Linked DNA regions of Rhinolophus ferrumequinum. The protein of the gene in region 3 interacts with the protein of the main gene of each other region in a pairwise test. Links are inferred from orthologs where the notes say so. Each region holds a gene or a part of one and is shown on either strand. Other genes may lie near its edges.

Region 1 (7,779 bases), on a different chromosome or scaffold from region 3:
ACATCCACTAGTTCTCTCACACCATCTTTGGCCTCCCTTTAGAAAGTCCGTTTTAACAAAAGTGACCAGAGAACACGAACTGTTGAGGCCAATGACTTCTACTGACACAGCAGGGACCACGGGACGAGGCCTGTGTCTTGTCGATGCTAGAGAAGTTATGAAATCTCATTTTCTCAGACCAAATGTAGCTATTCCTGTGGTTAAGGGCTTTGTTCTGCCCATTTCCCCATGGACATAGCAGCACAGTTATCAACCAACGGAAGAGAGCCAACTCCACTCTGACTCCTCCATAAAGGAGCCTTCCTCTTTCCTCGATATCTTGTATTTAAAAAACGAACCATAACTTGTTAAAAGTAGTATAAGTTTGATTCAAAGTAACCGAGGAAAGCAATGGTTTGTAACTAATATATTAAACCTTTCTTTTTATCCGTAAGTGATTATTTGACTTGTATGAAATTAAAAATAAAAAAATTTCCTATTTTTAAACCAATCAGCAGCCACATGTAGGTGACTCCAGTTTACCTGAAGAGACATGGGAAAATGACTATTAAAAAGTATAACTGGTGGGGCCGGCCCGGTGGCTCAGGCGGTTGGAGCTCCATGCTCCTAATTCCGAAGGCTGCCGGTTCGATTCCCACATGGGCCAGTAGGCTCTCAACCACAAGGTTGCTGGTTTGACTCCCGCAGGGGATGGTGGGCAGCGCCCCCGGCGACTAGAAACAGCAGCTGAACCTGGGGCTGCGCTGCACCCTCCACAACTAAGACTGAAAAGACGACAACTTGAAGCAGAACGGCACCCTCCACAACTAAGATTGAAAGGACAACAACTTGACTTGGAAAAAAGTCCTGGAAGTACATACTGTTCCCCAATAAAGTCCTGTTCCCCTTCCCCAATTGAAAAAAAAAAAAACTTAAAAAAGTATAACTGGTGAAGCTGTATATAATGGGTACAAGGTCTTGACACTACTCTATTATCATGTGTTTTAAAAATTCCATGTTAAAAAGGCATAACGTATTAAAAATCTTTTTTAACGTAAACTTATGCCAAGTGAAAAAAATTACATGTATTTCAACCTCCTCTGTTGCCTCAGATTAAAGTCAGGGTCCAAACAGTGCTCTTTTCTCCTTTATTCTTTTTATCCTTTTTGCAGGCCCTTATGGGTACCCCATAAAAGATGCCAATGGGAAAAACCAGCTTACTCAAGTAGAACAGTGTTGAAAACAATCCAGGCAAGATATTAATCAGTTTAAATAGAAACTTTGAAATATTCTTGAGATTTGACCTCAAGAGCTCAGAATCGAACTGTATATGAGATTATTGTTTCAAGGGAAATCACTGTATAATATTCCTTGACATAACACAAAGGGACCAACAAATCCATCTCAGGGTATGTGAGTGGGTCTGTCCCTGCTTTTTTTTTTTAAAGGAGGGTGCAGCTCACAGTGGCCCATGTGGGGATTGAACCAGCAACCTTGGTGTTAGTAGCACCACGCTCTAACCAACTGAGCTAACCAGCTACCCCTATACCTGCTTTTTAACTGGTTTGTCCAAAACCTTTACTTCTCCCCACAACACCCAATTAGATTCATCAATAAAATGTATTAAACCAAAATGCCTATGGGCTTGAGACTGGACTTAAGCTACTTATCAAAGGAAAATGCAAAACAATTGTAATGGAGCTAAAATTAAACGTTAAAGTATCTTTTACAGTGTGACTTCGCACTATCTTATGGGAGAGGGGACTGACTACATTTTTCCAGCCGCAGTTTGACAGAATCACAAAGCAACAGGTATCAACCTTGTCTTCATGAAAACCACAGCAAACGTATTTCTGATTTTTAAGTGGTTAGTTTTTGAGGAGACAAACATCCAACTCTGGCTTCCTGGGGCAGCAAGTTCCACAGGTTGATTCACCATTCTATTAAACCTGATTTTTATTTGCTCTTAAATGAAAGCCTTTAAAATTAAGCCTGGAGGCTTATAGTAACATAAAGCGGAATGGTCAGAAGTCTTGAAAATCTGTACTAGAGGAACAATTTTAGACCCGATGAGGCGTGTTCAGGCCTAGCAAATCCTCAAGGGCTAGCTAGCATAGCTTGGAGCCACTGCAAGTATGCTGGAAGTGATTCCTTGGCTGATCCTGGAAAACCCCAATACTCCCGATGACCCCTCACCTGATTGAACTCCTCGTCGGCATATATATCAATCAAGTCCACTCCTTCTGACATGGCTCCGGAAGGCAGATCGCGGGCCCGGAGAACGGACAAAGTAAGAAAGATGCCACTGCGGAGAGGCAAGAGTTAGATGGCATGAAGGTCCCGGGTTGGAAGGAGGGCAATGGTCGCCAACCTCCCGTCTCCAGAGACGCAGCCTCCCCGGCAGCCCAAGCTCTGCCCCACCCGCTCCGCCCCGCCCCCGGCCTCGCGCCGCCCCTCGCGCTCCCAGGCCGCCGGGGCTCGCGGGGCTCGCTGCCCATCACCCTCGGGCCCGACCCGAGCTACGCCGCTGGGGCCGTGGCGCGACGGGGAACCCCAGGCCTCTGCACCTAGGGGCCCTCGCACAGCGCCGTTAAGAACGCCCGAGGCGAAGCCCGCAGCCCCAGCCCAACGCACCTGCCTAGGCCCCGGGGCGGCCCCGGCTAGAATCCCCGCGAGTCCCGGAGATCCTGTTCCACATCCAAGCCCAGTCCTCGCCCCCAGCTAGGCCCGCCCCGCTCCCTCCCCACAGACCCGGCCCAGCGCCCTCGGCCCCCTCCCACAAAGGCCCGCGCCAACCTCCGCCCGCCGACTCCGGCTGCCCCAAACTCAACCGACCCCCTCCCCGCCTCAGCGCCGGCCCCGAGCCCTCTTCCGGCCCAGCCGGCCCCCGGCCGCGCGCCCCCGTTACCGGGAATATGGCGGCGGAGGCGGCGAGTCCGAACTAGGCCCGAAGCGCGCGAACCGCTCTCGGCCCCCCAGGTCCCGCCTTCCCCCCTACCCCGCCACTGGCGTCACACGCAAAGCCACTTCCGCCCTACGCAGGCACGCATCTTCCGGCTTAGGGCGAATCTTCCGCAGGGTCGGCGTCCGGGAGGTCCCGGAAGTGGCTGGGCCGCAGGCTTCCGGTACAGGTCAGGAAAAATGGCAGTGGCCATCGTATTCCCGGCTCTGGCACGGGTGAGAATGCATGTCGTAGGGTCCTGGGCGGGCCACAGTGGGAACTGAGTCTCTTCTTCTTCCGCAGTCCTGGAGACCGCGAGGAGAGGTCCAACTGCCTGACAGCCTAAGGCAAGGACAGACCCAAGGAGAGGTCGAGCTTGCAAATTAGGAGATTCAAGTCGCTGTCACCCTTTTCCGGAACCCACTAGCTGCCTGTATTGTGGTATCGTGGAACGATCAGTCTTCCTGTAAGACCCAATACGGATTTCACCTGTTTCCCGGGTGAAGCTGGCCCCACCGCCTCTGGGCGCCTCTTCTGTCTGATTTTAAGTCAGCTTCCTCTTAAATCTTCTCTAATACCTATCGTGAGTTCACATCGCATCATAAGATCTTTCTTTCTTTTCCTTTTTTCTTAAATGTAGGTGTTTACCACTGTAAACTTTTCTTACTATTGCTTTTTGCTGCTTCTCATGCTATTTTGCATGTTGTGTCTATTGTCTCAAGATATTTTCTAATTTCCCTTTTGATTTCTTCTTTGGTTCATTTGAACCATTGGTTGTTTGAGAGCGTGTTGTTTTATTTTCACATATTTGTGAATTTTCCAATTTGCCTTCTGCTGTTGATTTCTAGTTTTCATTCCGTTGTAGTCAGAAAAGATCTCATACAATTTCAATATTCTTAAACTTGTTTTATAACCTAACGTGATCTATCCTGGAGGATGTTCACAGTGTGCTTGAGAATAATGTATATTCTCGCTGCTGTTGGGTGGAATGTTCTGTATATATCTGTTTGGTTCATTGGATCTGTAGTGTTGTTCAAGTTCTCTATTTACTTACTGATCTTCTGTCTGGATGTTCTATCCATTATTGAAAGTGGGGCATTGAAATCTATTATTGTGTTGCTATTTCTTTCTTCAGTTCTGTCAGTGTTTGCTTCATATATTTGGGTGCTCTGATATTGGTTACATGTATATTTATAATTGTTATATCTTCCTGGTGGATTGACCCTTTTATTATTACATAATATCCTTCTTTATCTCTTGTAACAGTTTTTGATTGAAAGCCTGATATGAGTAGAGGCCTCTGCTCACTTTTGGTTACCATTTGCATGGAATATCTTTTTTTCATTCTTTCACTTTCAACTTATGTGTTGCCTTACATCTCAAGTGAGTCTCTTTTAACAGCATATACTTGAGTCTTGTTTTTTTTGTTGTTTGTTTTTTTGTTTTTTTTTTTTGTCTATTGAGTCACTCTCTATTTTGGTTGGGGAGTTTAATATATTTACATTTAAAATAATTACTGGTAGGAAAGGACTTACTGTTGCCATTTTGTTAAATATTTCCTTCATGTCTTGGAGCCTGTGTCCCTCTTTTCCTCCCTTGATATCATCTTTGGTGTTTCGTTGATTTTTTTTTTTTTTTTTGGTAGAAGCATACTTTGATTCCTTTCTGACTTTCTATTGTGTATCTTGTATAGGTATTTCCTTTGTGGTTACTGTGGGGCTTACATACAACATAATAACTATTTTAAGCTGATAACAGTTTAACTTCAATCTCATACAAAAACTCTGCTCTTTTACTCCTTCTCACTTTATGTTATTGATGTCACAATTGCATATTTTTATATTGTGTATCCATTAACATATTTTATAGGTCTTTAAAAAAAGTCTTTGTGTTTTAACTTCTATACCAGAATTAAAAGTGATTTATGCACCATTGTTACAATATTACGATATTCTGTATTTGTCATATTTACCTTTACCAGTGAGCTTTATGCTTTTATATGCTTTTGTGTTACTGTCTAATATGCTTTAGGTCCTTTGGGCTTCTTGAATTTTAATGTCCATTCATTTCCCTGGATTTGGGAAGTTTTGGTCCATTATTTCTTCAAATGAGCTTTCTGCTCCTTTCTCTCTCTTCTTCTGGGACTCCCATAATGTGTGTAGTGTACGCTTGATGATGTCCCATAAGTCTCTTGGGTGTATTCACTGTTTTTCATTATTTTTTCTTTTCTTTCTTCTGATGGGTAATTTCAAATGACTTGTCTTAGAGTTCACTCATTCTTTCTTCTGCTTGATCAAGTCTGCTGTTTAACCCCGATAGTGAATTTTTAAATTCAGTTATTGTATCCTTCAGTTCTACATTTTCCATTGGGTTCTTTTTAATATTTATCTTTATTGATATTTTCATTTTGTTCATGCATTGTTTTTCTGACCTCATTGAACATCTTGATGGCAGTTATTTTGAATTCTTTGTCAGGTAATTCATATACCTCTGTTTCTTTAGGGTCGATTTCTGGAGATTTGTTTTGTTCCTTTGATTAGGCCATGTTTCCTTGTTTCTTTGTGTCCTGTACAATTTTTTGTTGGGATCCACGCATTTGATAAAACAGCCAACTCTCCTAGTTTTTTTGGACTGGCTTTATTCAAAGAAAGACCATCACCAGGCAGCCCTGCTAGAGATTCTGGGGGCTTCCCAATACTTTCGAGTAGATATGTCTTCTCTGGATTTGTGCATGTCAATTCCTAATTAGAGGAATTTGCTGGCTTCTTTTGTCGGGAGCTCATAAGTTCTTACTCCTTCTGGTGTCTGTACTACTGCAGGTTCTCAAGGTGCCACAAGCCTTCCAGCTCTGTTCTCAGCCCCCAGGCTTCTATAGTGTCCCGAGTATATTGTTGTGGAGTTGGTGTCTCTGTGGGTGAAGGAGAATGTGGTGCTTCCTGCTCTGTCATCTTGCTTATATCACCACCTTCTCATCACATCTTGATAGTTTTTGACTTTCTCTAGGAGTCCTTGGGGGATTAGGATCCATGCCATCACTGTATGCTCAGATTTTGACACAGGCTAGTGACTAGAATACAAACCATACTGTAAAAATTTTAAGGGACTGCAAAGGAAAGAGAAAATATTTCTGCTGGATAATTTCTGGAAGGGCACTGATTAAGAACACGTTTGTAATTATAGCTCGGTTTCGATCCTAACTGCAGTTACTATTTGGATGACAAGTTTTTTAACTTCCCTGAGCTTCAACTTCCTAAACTGTAGGGTGGAGTCAGTATCAGCATAAGTTCTTACAGACTAAATGAGATTGAATGTATTTAGCATCTAATGTGTTGAGTGAATGACAAATGTTATTTGTTGTTGTTAAAAAGATGTTTGTGCTTTGTTTCAGATGCTTGCTCTGTCCAGGCGCCACCCAGTGTCTCCTTTGCTCAGCATGACATCATTCAGACACTTCTGCAGAGGTGACAGCCCAACAGATTCCCAAAAAGATATGATTGAAATCCCTTTGCCTCCATGGCAGGAGCGAACTGATGAATCCATAGAAACCAAAAGAGCCCGCCTGCTCTATGAGAGCAGAAAGAGGGGAATGCTGGAAAACTGCATTCTGCTTAGGTAGGGGACAGGGGTGTTGGTGTCACTTCTCTTTGACTAGAGACAGCATTTCAACTTCTTTCTCTTTCTTGTTTTTAGCCTCTTTGCTAAAGAATATCTGCACCACATGACAGAGAAACAGCTGAACCTCTACGATCGCCTGATTAATGAGCCTAGCAATGACTGGGATATTTACTACTGGGCTACAGGTACTGGGCATGATAAGCAGCATAATGGGAAAAGTAGGATGACTTGGGCCTATTTTGAGTCTAAAATTATATTCTAGGCAATTTTTTTCTTTTATTAATACAATAGACCCTTAACCCAAACACTCATCAAATTTTTACAAAGTGTGCAAAATTTGTTTTATTAAGGTTCTTTGTTTGCAAGCAAGAGAAACCTATTCTGTGTAACTTGAGCAAAAAGGGAATTTACTGAAATTGTACGGGAAGCTCACAGTCTCGGAGAGAAGGTTGAAGAAAAACTAGGCTGGGAATAGAGTGGAACCCGTTATAGACAGCTCTATAGTCTGCAGAGCAAGAGTTCTTCAGTAGTCTCATTCTGACACTGCCTTTGAGGAATGAATATTCACTGTGTATAGTTAGCATTAGCTTTGGCTGTGAGTAACAAAAAAATCTAAGACAATAATGGCTTAAGCAAGACAAAACTGTATTTCTCTTTCTCATAATAGAAGTCCAGGGTAGGCATATAGAGGGGTTTCAAAAACCTTGCTGCTCCTTCATCCTCAGCATGTGTCGTCCAACTCCTGGTCCAAGATGTCTGCTAAAGCCCCATCTGCCATATCCATATTTCAGCCAAGAAAAAAGTGTATAGAAAAGCACACCCTATTCTTTATGGATCCTTCTCAGGAAGTTAAACATCATACTTCCACTCATTTCCCACTAGCTACGGTTTAGTCACATGGCTACACCTCACCATAAAGAAGAAATAATATAGTCTATTCTAGGTGTCTAAATTGAAGATTCTGTTATTAAGGAAAAATGAGAGAATGGATAGTAGGGGATAGCTCATTATTTCTGTCACACTCTGGGTCTTCTGTTTTTGTGTTTCCACTCAATATCTGTATGATAAAGTAGAAGCCATTCTGTAGGTTCCAACTATAAAATGTGGTAGTGGATTGTGCTTTTGGGATTGTATCTAAGAAGTTGCCTGATCTAAAGTCACAAAGATTTTTTTCTATTTTGTTCTAGGAATTTTGTAGTTTTAGAATCAGCTGTTCAGTTTCTCAAGAAAAGAAATCCTACTTG
Region 2 (7,477 bases), on a different chromosome or scaffold from region 3:
GTTCTTCTGGGAGATTTTGAATGAGATTGTTTTTGAAAATGTCTATCATTTGTTCCTCTTGGTGGAGAATGTTCTTCGATTCTCATAGGAATGTCACCCTCAACTGTACTACCACCAAACTCAATCCACTGCTGTTCTGAGCCTTGCATTACTTCTATGAATCTTGAACCCATAAAACTTCTGTGACACTTAAGACCTCCTGAAGCATCAATACATGAAGCAAATTTTACTATGGCATCACCATTATTTCGGCCATCATGATGTTTTAAAAAAATTACTCCATCCACACACAAACCAGAGAAAAAGACACGTACATCATCTTCATTTACTAAGTAAGGCAAACCTCGTAGAAACAAATAAGGATTCTCTGCCTTCAATGGCCGTGTCTTTCTTGGCCTTAACTCACCATGTCCTGTACCATTAGTATGAAACCCAGCATCTTGATTAATCGGAGAGCCATATCCAGAATTACTTGCTTCTTCTTTAAAACCCTCAACAAAATTAGATAAGCATCCAACCCCTGATGCCCCAAATCCTGGTCGCTCTCTTCCTATGCGGTCAGTTCTTTTCATTTCAATAGTCTTCTGCATTTCTGCCTTACTGCTAAGAAAGAGCTCTACAGATGAATCCTTGATAAACCCTCCTGAACGACTTATGGCACGTCTTGCATCTTCATCTGTTGCAAAAATAATAAATGCCTCCCCAACTTCCCCTCCAATTATATGCACTCCTCCATCAGGAATAGTCAATCCCGTGAAGAAGTGACGAATATCCACAGGCCCCGCAACAAAAGGAAGCCCCAGTAAACGGATGACTACAGCCATGCTGAGCTCAAACCACAGCAATAATGACCTGCAGACAAAAAGGTACACATAATAGCAAGTCTTATTTTTGAAGAAGCTTATCCCAAACTAAGTTCAATAATTACTTGGTTCCTACCTTCTTCAGAATTTATAAATAAAAACAAAATACATGTTCACAAAAATATTGATTGTATCTAATTCTTAAAAAAAAAAAGGAATAAACTTTCTCCCTTCTACACACCAACTACTTTGAAGATACATTTTCATATCACCTATCCTATATAGTATGAACATGAAAAATACCAAATCTTCTTTGTAAGTCTGAGAAGTGCTGCTGGTTCACAAGACCAAACTATATTCAGACTCACTAAGAAACGTATCTTCTACTGAAACATGAGATAGAACTTTGTGATTTAAAATTTTTACTGTGAATTTTACATATTTATAAAAGCCATCTATGGTCAGTATATAATTTTTGTTCATAATAAACTGCTTACCACTAGTGCATCACTGGCCAGACATAGAGTGCAGAAGCCATGTGTACCTAAGATGTACTATTCTACTTTACATTTTTTTGTCAAGCCTATGTGAAAAGGCTTAAGCTCTGTATAGCTTTTTCTTTTTCTTTTTAATTTCTTGGAGACCTGTTAATTCTGTGAAAGCAACTTAACTGTGGAAAGAAAATGAAAATCCTCAGACTCGTTGATCTTAAACAATGCCAGGTTAGGATAGTCACTTTAAAATTATACCTATTATACCTATTATACCTATTAAAAGCGAAGCAATAAGCAATCACAATTATGGGCATTACAAAGTGGTCTTCTTTGTTCCAAGGGGAAATGAATCATCCTTCAGCAAAATGAAGGTGCAAATTCGGAGTAGACATCTACAAATTATTTAAAAACAAAAAAACTATTAATTGGAAATGGTACAAGGACAGGGATGATGGAAATGTTATATATTTTGATTGGAGTACTGGTTACGTGGATGTATAAATTTATCAAGGCTAAATGAATTCTATCTTTAAGATCTGTGCATTTCACTGTATATAAATTTTACATCCACTTAAAAAAAAAAAAACAACTGTTCTATAAGTAAAATGACAATTTAAAAACACCAAAAAATTCCCAAAAACTTTCTATCATTTCCACCTATGAAAAGACCAAACACCTAACTCATTATTATGCCCAACTCTTGCAATTCTCCTCCATTTCAAACATAAGACCAAATCAAATTAAAAAGGCAACCATTCAAAATGATAACATAAATGAAAACACGAATATTTAAAATTCAAAAACCAATTTTTAAAGCAAAATCGAAACAGTGGCTACCATCTAGATACAATTTTAAGTTCTGGATACAATTTTAAGTTCTACATATACAGCTCACACTTCCAAACATGGAACCAAATCTCCTGACTCCCGTATAATTAAGGCAAATACTAAAATATCCCTAAAATCGAAAATCTCAACTACTTATCTTAAACTCAACTACTACTCCATAAACTCCCACAATGATTACTGTTAAAATTCATCTCAAGGCAAACAGAAAACGTTCAGATAAATATAGAATCTACTTATGCTAATAAGTTTATTCCATTTCAAACAACTGTCCTGGGTTCTACTGAGGAAACCCAATGACAATGTAAAAAAGTGAAACCATAATAAAAACACATTAACTTGGAATATGTGGGGACTATCATTATTAACTACTGAAAAAAACCTCAGTATTTCTTTAAGCAAAGTCACATCTAATACTTTCAGATACCTAAACTAATAATATTTAATGTAGTCTTACCAAGTAATTTTTTAAGATCCGCTAAATTAATTGGAAATGGTACAAGGACAGGGATGATGGAAATGTTATATATTTTGATTGAAGTATTGGTTATGTGGATGTATAAATTTATCAAGGCTAAATGAATTCTATCTTTAAGATCTGTGCATTTCACTGTATATAAATTTTACATGTACTTAAAAAAAAAAAGTGTTCTACAAGAAAAACGACAATTTAAAAACACCAAAAAATTCCCAAAAACTTTCTATCATTTCCACCTATGAGAAGACCAAACACCTAACTCATTATCATGTCCAACTCTCTTGCATAAGTTTATGTTTTTAATGTGCAAATAAATGTTGTTTTAAATTAGTACTTACACATAAGTACCACTCTTCCACAAAGTAGGGTCTGAAGACATATTCTTTGAGGTCTACAAGGTTTATTTTCCTTTGAAAAGGAGTCCCATAGATTAAATTTTTTAAACTACAAGCTAAACTAACACTAAACTAACAAAGGTATCAAGAAATTACTTGGCACATTCCACATCTGAATTATCAATGCCAAGTTGATAATTAAAAATATTGAGATTTACTATTACTATAAAAATGTAATTTAAAATATTAAAAATATTAATGAGATTTACTATTAAAATATTTGCACAGTATGTGTAGGGGTAGGGGACATATGGGAAATCTCTATATCTTCTGCTCAATATTGCTATGAACCTAAAAAACTGCTCTAAAAAAGTATTTTTTTAAAAAAGTCTGCACAGCACCAAAAACAATCGAGTTCAAGCCTAGTTTCCTCAACAAACCAGTATCTACACCAACATTTTAACAAAAACTATAAATGGCTTCTGAAATAGTCGTCCACATTCAAGTTCCAAGACTCCTTCCTATGCAAATTGACTTAGCTCCTTTTTTACTTTTAAATTATTTTAGAATGCAATGTAAGGTGCACATTATTTTTCCCTTCTAAAATTGTTTTTTTTAATTTAAAGGGATTTACCAAGAACATACATCTACAAGAAAAGTTAGGGATGTTTCAAATTCAAAAGATTTCTAGTAATTTATCCTCTCTAACTTAAAAACAGTATTTTAACTAAGTAGTTCCATGTGTACAAATCTCATGAATTCCAATTCAAGCACTCTAAATAAAAAAAAAAAAATTGCTTCTAACTTGCCACAGTTAAATATAACTAATGATTAAATATTTTTGCCCTTTGGATAGTAGGGTAATGTACTATTTATCACTCTACAATAACACAGGTAGGAGACCACCTATGAGAGACCAGCTCAAAATGAGCACTTCTCCTGTGGTTGCCATGTTATTTCCTTAAGCAAATTCCCCAGAAAGTCTATTCTCACAACATTACACAAAAGGCAAAAACACAAAATACTCTCAAGTACTCTGCACTTAAAAATTTTCTACTTATGAATGCAACAAGTATTTTTCACGACTGTGTCAACTTAAAGACAGTAATCAGAACTTCTAACCTAAAAGAAGGAAGTGGGTCCTTAAAAGCTCATTTAACGTCAAGTCACCGAAATTAATAAACTCATTTTAATTTTGCTGTAATTTTATACGATTCATGCCACTTGATCCTTATCACTAAACAGTACAAAATGTGCATCCTCTTTTCAAGCCTGAGAGGGAAACTGGAGGGAGGCTAAATTTAAATAGGTATTATTTCAGACCCATTTGATTTTAGCTAGCCAATAATTCATTTTCCAGACATGGTGAGGGAGAGAAAACTGCGACTATATTTCTTAAAACCCAAAATTATGATGAAGCACATTTAAATTCTAAAAACGCATGAGTTTCCCCTGCAGAAAATAATCTACCCCCAGTCCACAATTATTCTTTATGATGACCTTTAATCCTCTTATAATGTAGATGGTTAAAATGGAAACCAAAGGCATGACGACACAAGAGCCATAGTCCCCAATAGGAACTGTAAATGAAGACGAATCCACACGACACAGGATTTCCCATAACATCCATCATCCTCAAACGGAGATCATCCGAAGGCATCGCTTCTATAGCCCAAAGCCTTTGTCCAGATTCCCAGGGGTCAGAGCTTCCTTTTTTCACGCCTGGCCAAAGTCGCTACGTACGATCCGATGCCGTCGCCAGACCTTCAGCCAAAATCAGCTTTCAAATTAACCTGGACCGCCCAACATCCGTGCCTTTCCGTTACGCCGTCCCAAAGGCAAACATTCCACCCTAACTAGCCACAGGGCGAACTGCTCCCAAATCTAACTGAAACCCTTTGGCCCCTCTCAAGCCCAAAGAGTCGGGCCTTGAGCGCTTTCCTGCCACCAATAACTACGATGACATAGCAAAAAAAAAGAAATACCTATGAAATCCTTCGAGATCTTCACTCTCAAGAAAACTGGGAAGCGAACACACAACAGCACATGGAGGCTGGCGGAAGAGTCGGTGTTTAGCAAGAAACGAGGGTGCCCTAACGGGAGAAGCTACGTTAGCTCCTGGCGCGGCCGCCGGCCCCGCCTTTCCCTGTTCTTCCGCCCCCGTCACCAACTCCTCCCCACCCCCGACGCCCCAAGGGTAACTGATTCGCACTTGGCAATAAACACACACCACTGCTGCCGAGTTGGGCACACAAGGCCAGGGGCAGGTGGCTCTCCTCGTCGCAGCAGCCTCCCCAGAACAGGATGAGAGCCCTCAGAGAGCCTAGAAGATGGCGCCCACTCTCCCCTCCGCCCCGGACAAACGGACGTACACTTTGCCCATGCGCTCTCCAGGCGTAACCCACCACCCCGGCGCCCGGGCCACGTTTACGCACGCGCCCTGACGCTCACAACGCTTCCCGTTGTCAGGGAAAGGAGGTGCCCACTGGCCCCCGACTTTGCTGAGTTTCTGCGCATGCTCAGAGTCCTGCCAACCCGGGAGCCTCACCAAGGAAAGGAGAGATTCCGACACTAAGTTTGGGATCGACCCTTTGCTGTAAAGAGTAGCTGCAATAAATGATTGCCTTAGTATACTGGACAAATGTTTATCATTTCCAGGAGTTAAGGAAAGAGATGTACAGCAGAGAAAAGCTGGCGATTTCTTTGTGTGGTGTAAGCATCTTCTGAAAGGAACTTTGGCTCTAAAAGGCCGCAGAAATGTTAGTTTTACTACCTTAGATATTCCCCAAATACAATTCCAACACCCAGAGGTCTCAATAAATGCATGCTTATTTAATTTCATAGACATTAATAACTTGTTATTCCTACCTTCTGGTGTTTTGAGACATGAGAACAGATAGGCCACTCATGAAAATTGGGAAGTGGAAAGCACAGTTACAGGCATGTTCTGTAATGCCTGTTCTGTAACAGCTGATGAACAACCTTGTGTTTGATTTTATTTTATTACTTACAAAAAAACAAAGCAGCCCACCACTTTTATAACTACTTATGCATTTATAGGTGGATTCAAAGCTCACTAAGAAAACAGAAATCCCATCTTTAAAACAGTAACGGATGAGAAAAAAATGAGTCTTCAATCCCTCTCTCACTGCAAAATACTCATTCTTTAATGATATGATTGTAGGAAAGAACAGGTAGTTTAACAAGTGAATAATAGGTGGTTCCTGGAGTGAGAACCATCATTTACTCACTTGGGCAAATTACTTAGCTTCTCTATGCCTGTTTCCTCATCTGTAAAATGGAGATAATAACAATGTACCTGTTAGGACTGCTGGAAATGTTGAATGACGATATAGATATAGATGTATCTGAGACCATACTCGTGTAAATATTAGTGACTTGTTTCAAATAGTCAAACAGAGGATGTCACATTGTAGAACTAGGCTCATTGATTAGGTAGCATTTACTTTGATTATTCCCCACAGTCTAGGGTTTGGTCCTGGCCAGGCAAGCTCAGGAAACCAAACTGAAAAGCTAACATTTATTGAGGGTTTATTATATGGCAGGCCCTGTGCATTATCTTATTCTTACTACTTTTAGTGGTAGGTACTATTATTTTTCCTACTTTACAAATAAGGGAAACTGAGTCATAAAGGATTACATAGCTTATCCAAGGTTACGTAAATAGTACAAGCCAGGAATTGAACCCTGGTGATTTACTTCCAGAGGATACTGCAGGCATACCTCAGATATTGTGGGGTCTGTTCCAGACACTGCCATAAAGCAAATATCATAATAAAGTGAGTCACATGAATTTTTTGGTTCCCCAGTGCACGTAAAAGTTATATATATACTATATCCTATACTATATCCTATTAGATATGCAATAGCATTATGTCTAAAAGAAAGTACATACCTCAATTAAAAAAGACTTTATTGCTAAGAATGTTAACCATCATCTGAGCCTTCAGTGAGTCATAATCGTTTTGCTGGTGGAGGATATATCCTCAATGTTGTTAGCAGCTGATGGATCAGCGTGGTGGTTGCTAAAGGTTGGGGTGGCTGTGGCAATTTCTTAAAATAAGATAATGAAGTTGGCAGCATCGAATGACTCTTGCTTTCAAGAATGATTTGTCTATAGCATGTGATGCTGTTTGATAACATTTCACCCACAGAACTACTTTCAAAATTGGAGTCAATCCTCTCAAACTCTGCCACTGCTTTATCAACTACGTTTATATAATATTCTAAATCCTTTGTTGTCATTTCAATAATCTTCACAGCATCTTCATGAGGAGTAGATTCTATCTCAATAAACTACTTTCTTTGCTCATCCCTAAAAAAACAACTTCTCATTTGTTAAATTTTTATCACGCAATTGAAGCAATTCAGTCACATCTTCAGGCTCTACTTCTAATTCTAGTTCTCATGCTATAACCACCACATCTGCAGTTACTTCCTCCACTAAAGTCTTGAACCCTTCAAAGTTGTCCATGAGGGTTGGAATCAACTTCTTCCAAA
Region 3 (7,398 bases):
GGAGATCCACCAGTTGATGGTGAGGGTATGGTCTGGAATCTCTGTATTTTATCCAGTGTCCCAACTGTTTCTTGTTCGACCAGAATTTAAAAATAAGTGCTCAAGAGTGTCCCATTCCAAGACAAGCATCACGCCCACTTCAGCCCATCCTGCCCCTGAAATCTCCCACTATCTGACCTGGCTTGCCCCACACTTGGCCTGGCAAATTCCTAACTCTGAAGGTACCACTCCCTTCCATCCCTTAAACCCAAAGCTATAGTGCACACCTCTCCTGAGAATCCACAGGCACTTACAACCCACTACCCGTCTCTGCCTCTCCTCTTGCAGTAGCTGTCTGGACCTTGGTGAATGGCACCATATACCTACCAGGGTCCCCCAAATTGGAAACCTGGGCATCAGCCTCTATTCTCCCCTTTCTCTTTAATCCTTTCCCACTCTCACAACCAGCCGTGGCACCCATCCAGCTGTTTTGGAATCACCTGTAAACTGTGTGGCCCGCCTTGTGAGACCCTGAGTAAGGAGAAGGCTGCAATCTTATCTGTCCCCTTCATCACAGCTCTCCGAGAGCCTAGCACACAGGTCCTGGCTCACAACAGGTGCCAAGTAAATGTCTGCTGAAAAGAAACCAATCATCTACTGCACTGTTCGCTCTGCCTGGAAGCCCTTTCCTAGCACCCTCCTGGAGCAGTTCTGAGATGGGGACAAGCCTCGGCTGCTTGAGGGGGGTGGGAGTGGGTAACTCACCGTCTTTCATACTCCATATCCTGATAGGGCCTTCGGGGGCTGCTGGGGCCCCTCCTCAGCCGCTGGCTCCGTTTCACTTCCCAGCCACCCCCACAGCTGCCACCATGATCTGCCAGCCTGGGTGATGCCTCCTGCAGGGACTCTGGGGAGAGAGGAAGGAAAAAAGGGGTCAAAGCAGTTGGGGCAGAGAGGGCCTCCTTGAGAAACGCTCCTTGTTAAGGCTCTCTGCTGTCCCTTAGCCTGAGGACGTTGTTTCCCAATTCCTAGTGCTCCTGAGGACCAGAGTGGGAAGGCAGCTGCTCCTCCCCCCCCCGCCCACCCCCCCAGTACTTGGCCAGCTCCTTTCCTTCCCATACAAATGTGAGATTAGAGTCCACTGCCCTAATAGAAAGAGCAAGGCCTTCAGCAGACAGGGAGCATCTTGCAGAGAGAACTGGTGGTGCCACCCATTCTGTGATCAGGGCGTTGCCATCTGAAACTGGTAGACAAGTTCAAGCCCGGAGCTACCTGCCCAGGGGGAGTTCTCGGTGCTGAATGACTTGTTCCAGATTGGGCACATTAGGCATAGAGGAAAGACTTCATAAAAGGGTCCCAGGCACCCACCAGTCTCCTTCCATGGACCCCCAAGGTGTGATTTCATCCTCCCAACAAGATGCTGGCTGCCCCCTATAAGACAGCAGGAGACCATGAAAGGCTTAGGGGGTGAAGGGGCTAACTTGGCAATGAGACAGCTGCCGCCTCCCTGGGCTCCTGGCCAACACAGCTTTGGGCCTCACACGGCAACTGGCTCAGCCCTGAACCCTGTCTCTTATGAGCAGCCAGGTCCCAAGGCAGCTTTCTCCCCAGAGCAAAAGGAGCCCTTTCAGAGGCTTTTCCAAACCATTGTCCTATTCCGTTGGGATGCAAGGGCAGTCATTTCACCTAACCCTCAGGGCTACCATGAGAACTAAGGAATTCCCAAGCCACATGACTTGGCCAGGGGTCGCCACACAGTATCCCAGAATCCTCAGGTCTCGCCCTCTGAACAGGAATCAGGCAAGGCCAGGCAACAACAGCATCTGCCCCACACTAAGTTACCACCACACCTTTCCTCCGTTTATACACACACACCAATTTTCTCTTCCTCCTCAAGCTACAGGGAACCAGAGTTACCTGCTCCCAGATGGGTAAGAGTTAGAACAACCAGGGGCCCCAGCGGATAACAGCTGATACAAAACCCTCAGTAGACTCTGGCAAAGGGGCCAGTCACACATTGGTATCCACAACAGATAGGGACCAAAGTCACAGACACGCGCCCCAAATAACTCTGGGCCAAAATCACAGACAGGAACCCACAATAAGTATGGGTCATAAACACACCCCGAAGCCCCTTTTCAATAGATGAACGTCAGAATCACAGATAGGAACCCCCTTCCCAAAGAACGGGCAATAAGTCATACACATTCCTTGCATTCCCTCCCTACCCAGTTAAGTCGGTTAGGGCCAGTCGCAAGAAGACTCCCTATGGATAAGGACCTCTCCCCATGGATAGGGACCAGAGTTAGACACACACTCCAAGGATAAAGACCAGGGTCATACAAACGTTCTTACTCCTCCTTCCAAGACTAAGGACCCGAGCCACAGAACACCCCCACGAACAGGAAAGTAACAAAGTCACACAGAACAGACAGCACAGCCCCTCTCCTGTGGATAAAAACCATAGCCGCAGACACTCGCCTCCCCACGGATAAAATTCGGTGTCTCAGGCACAGTAAGCCACAGTATCCCACTCCCATCCGTCCCTCCCTTCCCCCAACCCGCGTGCACCTATCCAGTGTCCCGATCGCGCACGCGCCACGGCTCTCAAAAGGGGGAAAATTTTTTTTAAAAAGACAACCCATCCCGGGCTCAGACAGTGCACGCATCCCTCAGTTGCAGCCCGCAGTCCGCCCTCTCTCCTCTTCTACGCACCACCCCCCGCCCCCAGCCCCTTACCTCCGCCCCCACGACCAGCGTCGACGCTCACCTTTTCGGCCCGGGCTGTCAAGGGAGGGCTCCCTGACATCACCTCGGCCCGCTGCCACCGCCACCAACCCTCCCAACTCAGCTGGAGCCGGTCCGCGCGACAACCAAGTCCGAGGCTGGAAACTGAAAGGCGGGGGAGGGAGGAGGGGAGAAGCGCCAATCGCACTGCCCTCCCCGGAAAACTAACTGCCACCTACTCCCCGTCGGCCGCAATCAGCAGCACAAAATGGCGACCAAGAGCAGGGAACCGGCGCTTCGACCACCATCCACCTACCGAGGGAGCGCGCTCAGGCTGGTCGCGTCTATTGGTCACCGTATGCCATCGGCCAGCCCCGACCCGCTCTGATTGGCCAGCATCTGCTACCTCCCCATTCCCTGTGCGAACGCCCACAAGTCGAGAAAAGGAGTAGCTATTGGCCAATCTGGCGAGGCCCGCTTTTTAGAAGCTTGGCTTCCTTCGAAGATGAAAGACAAACGGAAGCTCCGCCTCTTCTCCAAGAGGGCAAGGGAAGTTCCTGTGCGTTTGGCTGGGAACTGCATCCACCCAAATGTCACTGCTTTCTTCTCAGCAAGGGTAGGAGCTGACCACTCAGGCAGAACTGCCATAGCTCCATCGAGAGGATTGGAAAATGGTTGCTCCCTTAAGGCCATGACAGAGGGAGACAAAGAGGGCTGCTCAGCGCCTCACTCGCTTGAAAAAAATCCAGACTCGGGGCCTATTTAGTGCGGTGGGGGCAGAGCGACAACTATCGCGCTGGGGTCAACTGCAGCTGCGCAGAGTCGCACTTCCGTCCCCGCCCCTGAGAGCCTGCAGAACCACCTGTCATGGCGGCTGGGCTGTTAGGTTTGTGCGCTCGCCGCCTTTTGGCAGCAGCCGCGACGCGAGGGCGCCCGGCTGCTTGGCTTCGCTGGGAATCCAGCTCCTCCAGGGCTGTGATCGCCCCGTCCGCTGTGGTGGGAAAGCGGGCACCAGAACCTACTATGCGCTGGCAGGAGGACCCAGATGTAGAGGACGAAAACCTCTATGAGAAGGTGAGAGGGAGGGGAAACGGGACGCCAAAAGGGTCAGTCGGGGACCAGCGGATGGGGCGCCATAGAGGACGTTGCTAGGCGGCTGAGGATTGTGCAGCTGGTGAAATCCTTGAAGACTTGGGAATTTTGCCTAGTTTCTTTTCCTCCTTTGTCTGGTGATATCTTCTGTTCAGGGCCAGAGATTAGATTGGCCTTATGTTGCAAACAAGTACCAAACCTGAAATGGGCAGTGCTCAAAACACTTAGAAGCAATACAGTATAATAATAATACTAAACACTGGTACGACTTTTTTTGGTGTCAGTGTTCTAAACACTTGACATACATTAATTCATCTAAATCCTCAAAACAACCCTATTTCGAAGTAGGTACTCTTACTAAACCCATTGAACAGACGAGAAAATTGAAGCACAGAGATGGGGAGTGGCTTGCCCAAGTTCGCATAACTGAATGTGTGTCAGAACCGGTATTTGAACTTGGATCTACCACGTCTGTTGTGCTCTCTTGATAGCAGAGCCTCTGAAATCAGAATACCTGGGCTAGAATACAGGCACTGGCAGTTACTCACCTGAGTGACCTTGGGCAAGTAACTTAACCCCTTGGTGCCTCAGTTTCTTTGTAAAATGGGCAAAGTATTAGGACACCTTCTAAAAAAATAAAATATTACACCTGCCTTGTGTAATTAAATGAGTTAAAATGCTCCGAACAGCATCTGGCACTTAGTAAGTACTCAGCATTAGAAGGTGTTTATTATTGCCACTTTCCATCTCACTGGGATATTGTGAAGTTTGTATATGTGAAAAGGCCTGGCACATAAGAGGTAATTCATCGATACTAACCTCTGATTGAGGGGCTTGGATATATAGGATACTCATTCATTCATTCATTCTGTAAATATGTATTGAGGGCCTCCTGCGTGCCAGGCACAGTTCAGGGCCCTAGGGGTTCAGCAGCGTGGAAATCATATAAAGCCCTTGCTCTTATATGATAGTGGAGAACACAGAAAATAAATATGTAAAATATTTGACAATAGTAATGTAGAGTATGTAATGGATCATATAACATAATGTGATACAGGCGATCTAGGAGCATGCTACTTTGATAAACTAATAAATGCTAGAAAGAATGTTAAGCAAGATAAGTGGATTGAGAGTGACTTGGGGTTAGGGAGTAATTTTATTAGGTTGAACCATAGGAAATTGCCAATATTCAACCATTTTTGACCTATGAAAATGGCAATTTCCCATAGTTCAACTTAATAGACAAGGTGACTAGGGAATGCCTCCTAAAGGAAGTGATGATGAAGCCAAAACTTGGAATGAAGAGGCAGATCCAGCCATGAAATCTGGGGGGAAAGGCTTTCCAGGCAGAGGGAACAACTAGTGCAAAGGTCCTGTGGTGGGAAGGGCTTGACAAGTCCCAAGAACAGAATGAGAGGAATTTAGGGATGGAGAGGAGATTGGTCCAATTAGAAGCCAGCTTATACAGGGCCAGCATAAGGCTTTGTGGAGCAGCAGGAAACCTCAATGATTTCTCCTTCCGCAGAACCCAGACTCCCATGGCTACGACAAGGATCCTGTTGTGGACGTCTGGAACATGCGCGTCGTCTTCTTCTTTGGCTTCTCCATCGTCTTGGTCCTTGGCAGCACCTTTGTGGCTTATCTGCCTGACTACAGGTCCATGGGGTGTCTAAGAGAATGGGATGGGTGTGGGCAGAGGCAGGGGTGGAGGTTGAAGGGGATTCTGCCAGGAATCCTGTCCTACCCCATTGAGGAATGGGGAGCTAAGGTGGGGATTGGTGTCCAGTGAGGCTCCCTCATGTCTCCCTCGCACGCTGCTGCCTCCAGGATGCAGGAGTGGGCCCGCCGGGAAGCTGAGAGGCTTGTGAAATACCGAGAGGCCAATGGTCTCCCCATCATGGAATCCAACTGCTTTGACCCCAGCAAGATCCAGCTGCCGGAGGATGAGGACTGACTGGTTGCTGAGTGGGGCTCAAGAAACACCACCTCCTCCACCCCCTGCCTGCCATTCTGCCTTCTCCTCAGAGCACCTAATTAAAGGGACTGAAAGTCTGATTGGCTGGTGTTGATTTTGTTGTACTGGGGATGTGGGAGTGGGGGTGTCAGGCCTTAAAAGGGCCACCACCACCTTTTCTGGGTGTTCCAATTATCTATTGCTGTGTAACAAATACCCGAAAACTTAGTGGCTTAATATGACAATTTAGTGTCATCTTTCATGGTCCTGTGATTGACTGTGCTCAGCTAAGTGGTTCTTGAGGTCAGACAGTGGCTGGTACTGAGTCATCTGAAAGCTCTACTGGGATGGACATCCAAGACGGCGTCTTCACTCATGCCTGGCACTTCAGTCTTCTTCCAGGTGGCCTCTCTGGAAAGCTCCCTTCAGGTCCACCCTCCCTACCGCAAGGGTAACCCCTCTCTCGACTTGTAACAACATAGGTTAGTTTCGTCTGGTTTGAAACTTCATACGAGTGCATCCATACATTTTTGTACCTGACTTTTTTAAATATATTTTTTTATTAGTTTCAGGTGTGCAAAACAATGCAATAGTTAGACATTTACACCCCACAAAGTGATAATCCTCCCCAATCGACTACCCGTCTGACACCGTACGTAGCTGTTACAATACCATCTAGTATCTTCCCTATGTTGTACTTCACATCCCGTGACTATATATACCTATATAGTTAGTTCTAGTTGACATTCAGTATTATTCTAGTTCAGCTTCAGGTGTATAGCGCATTGGTCAGGCATCTACATGTCTATGACGTGACCCCCATGGTAAGTCCAGTGCCCATCTGGCACCTTACATGATCTTTACAACATTCCTGACTACATTCCCCACACTGTATTTCACATCCCCGTGACTATTTTCTGACTACCAGTCTGTACTTCCTAATCCCTTCAGCTTCTCCCCCATCCCTACTCCCTCCCATCTAGCAACCATCAGGTTTTCCTCTGTATCTCTGAGTCTATTTCTGTTTCGTTTGCTCGTTTATTCTGTTCTTTAGATTCCACATATAAGTGAGAGCATATGGTATTAGTCTTTCTCAGTCTGACTCATTTCACTTAGTACCTGGCTTCTTTCATTCAGCTTGGTGGTATGAGACAGGTCCACGTTCTTACGTGATCAGTGGTTTGTCCATCCTCATAGCTGTGCTCTTTTCCATTGTATGAACAGATCACACTTCATTTGTTCCAATGTTGATGGGCATTTCGGTAGTTTTCTGTTTGGGGCTATTAAGAATAATTCTTCTGGGCGGCCGGATGGCTCAGTTGGTTAGAGCGCGAGCTCTTAACAGGGTTGCCAGTTCGATTCCCACATGGGCCGGTGAGCTGCGCCCTCCACAACTAGATTGAAGACAACGAGCTGCCACTGAGCTGCCAGTGGGCAGCCGGATGGCTCGGTTGGAACGTGAGCTCTTAACAACAAGGTCACCAGTTCAATTCCCGCATGGGATGGTGGGCTGCGCCCCCTGCAACTAGGTTGAAAACGACGACTGGACTGGAGCTGAGCTGCGCCCTCCACAACTGGATTGAAGGACAATGACTTGACTCGGAGTTCCTGGAAAATACACAGTTACCCAATAAAATTTAAAAATA

Evidence for each region.
Region 1: the proteins of RBM10 (region 3) and CPSF7 interact in binary tests that used the Homo sapiens proteins (3 or more experiments, as listed by UniProt). The two-hybrid records come from large-scale screens. The link is inferred for Rhinolophus ferrumequinum from reciprocal best matches to the Homo sapiens genes RBM10 and CPSF7.
Region 2: the proteins of RBM10 (region 3) and RBM12B interact in a two-hybrid assay, tested with the Homo sapiens proteins (3 studies listed by BioGRID). The link is inferred for Rhinolophus ferrumequinum from reciprocal best matches to the Homo sapiens genes RBM10 and RBM12B.

The regions. Positions count from the first base shown.
Region 1 is NC_046294.1:9,493,688-9,501,466, reverse strand, and holds the start of CPSF7 (cleavage and polyadenylation specificity factor subunit 7), read right to left. Parts: upstream 3,012-7,779; 5' UTR 2,888-3,011; exon of another isoform or gene 2,776-2,887; intron 2,687-2,775; coding exon of another isoform or gene 2,505-2,686; intron 2,503-2,504; coding exon of another isoform or gene 2,376-2,502; intron 2,375-2,375; coding exon of another isoform or gene 2,339-2,374; exon of another isoform or gene 2,303-2,338; intron 2,285-2,302; 5' UTR 2,230-2,284; coding exon 2,176-2,229; intron 1-2,175.
Region 2 is NC_046297.1:34,817,926-34,825,402, forward strand, and holds the start of RBM12B (RNA-binding protein 12B), read right to left. Parts: upstream 3,044-7,477; 5' UTR 3,001-3,043; coding exon 2,960-3,000; intron 853-2,959; coding exon 1-852.
Region 3 is NC_046284.1:86,743,119-86,750,516, forward strand, and holds the start of RBM10 (RNA-binding protein 10), read right to left. Parts: upstream 3,102-7,398; 5' UTR 2,789-3,101; coding exon 2,719-2,788; intron 887-2,718; coding exon 745-886; intron 1-744. Other genes in the region: NDUFB11 (NADH dehydrogenase [ubiquinone] 1 beta subcomplex subunit 11, mitochondrial), read left to right, coding at 3,574-3,780, 5,324-5,454, 5,626-5,752. UniProt on the Homo sapiens protein: Binds to ssRNA containing the consensus sequence 5'-AGGUAA-3'. May be involved in post-transcriptional processing, most probably in mRNA splicing. Binds to RNA homopolymers, with a preference for poly(G) and poly(U) and little for poly(A).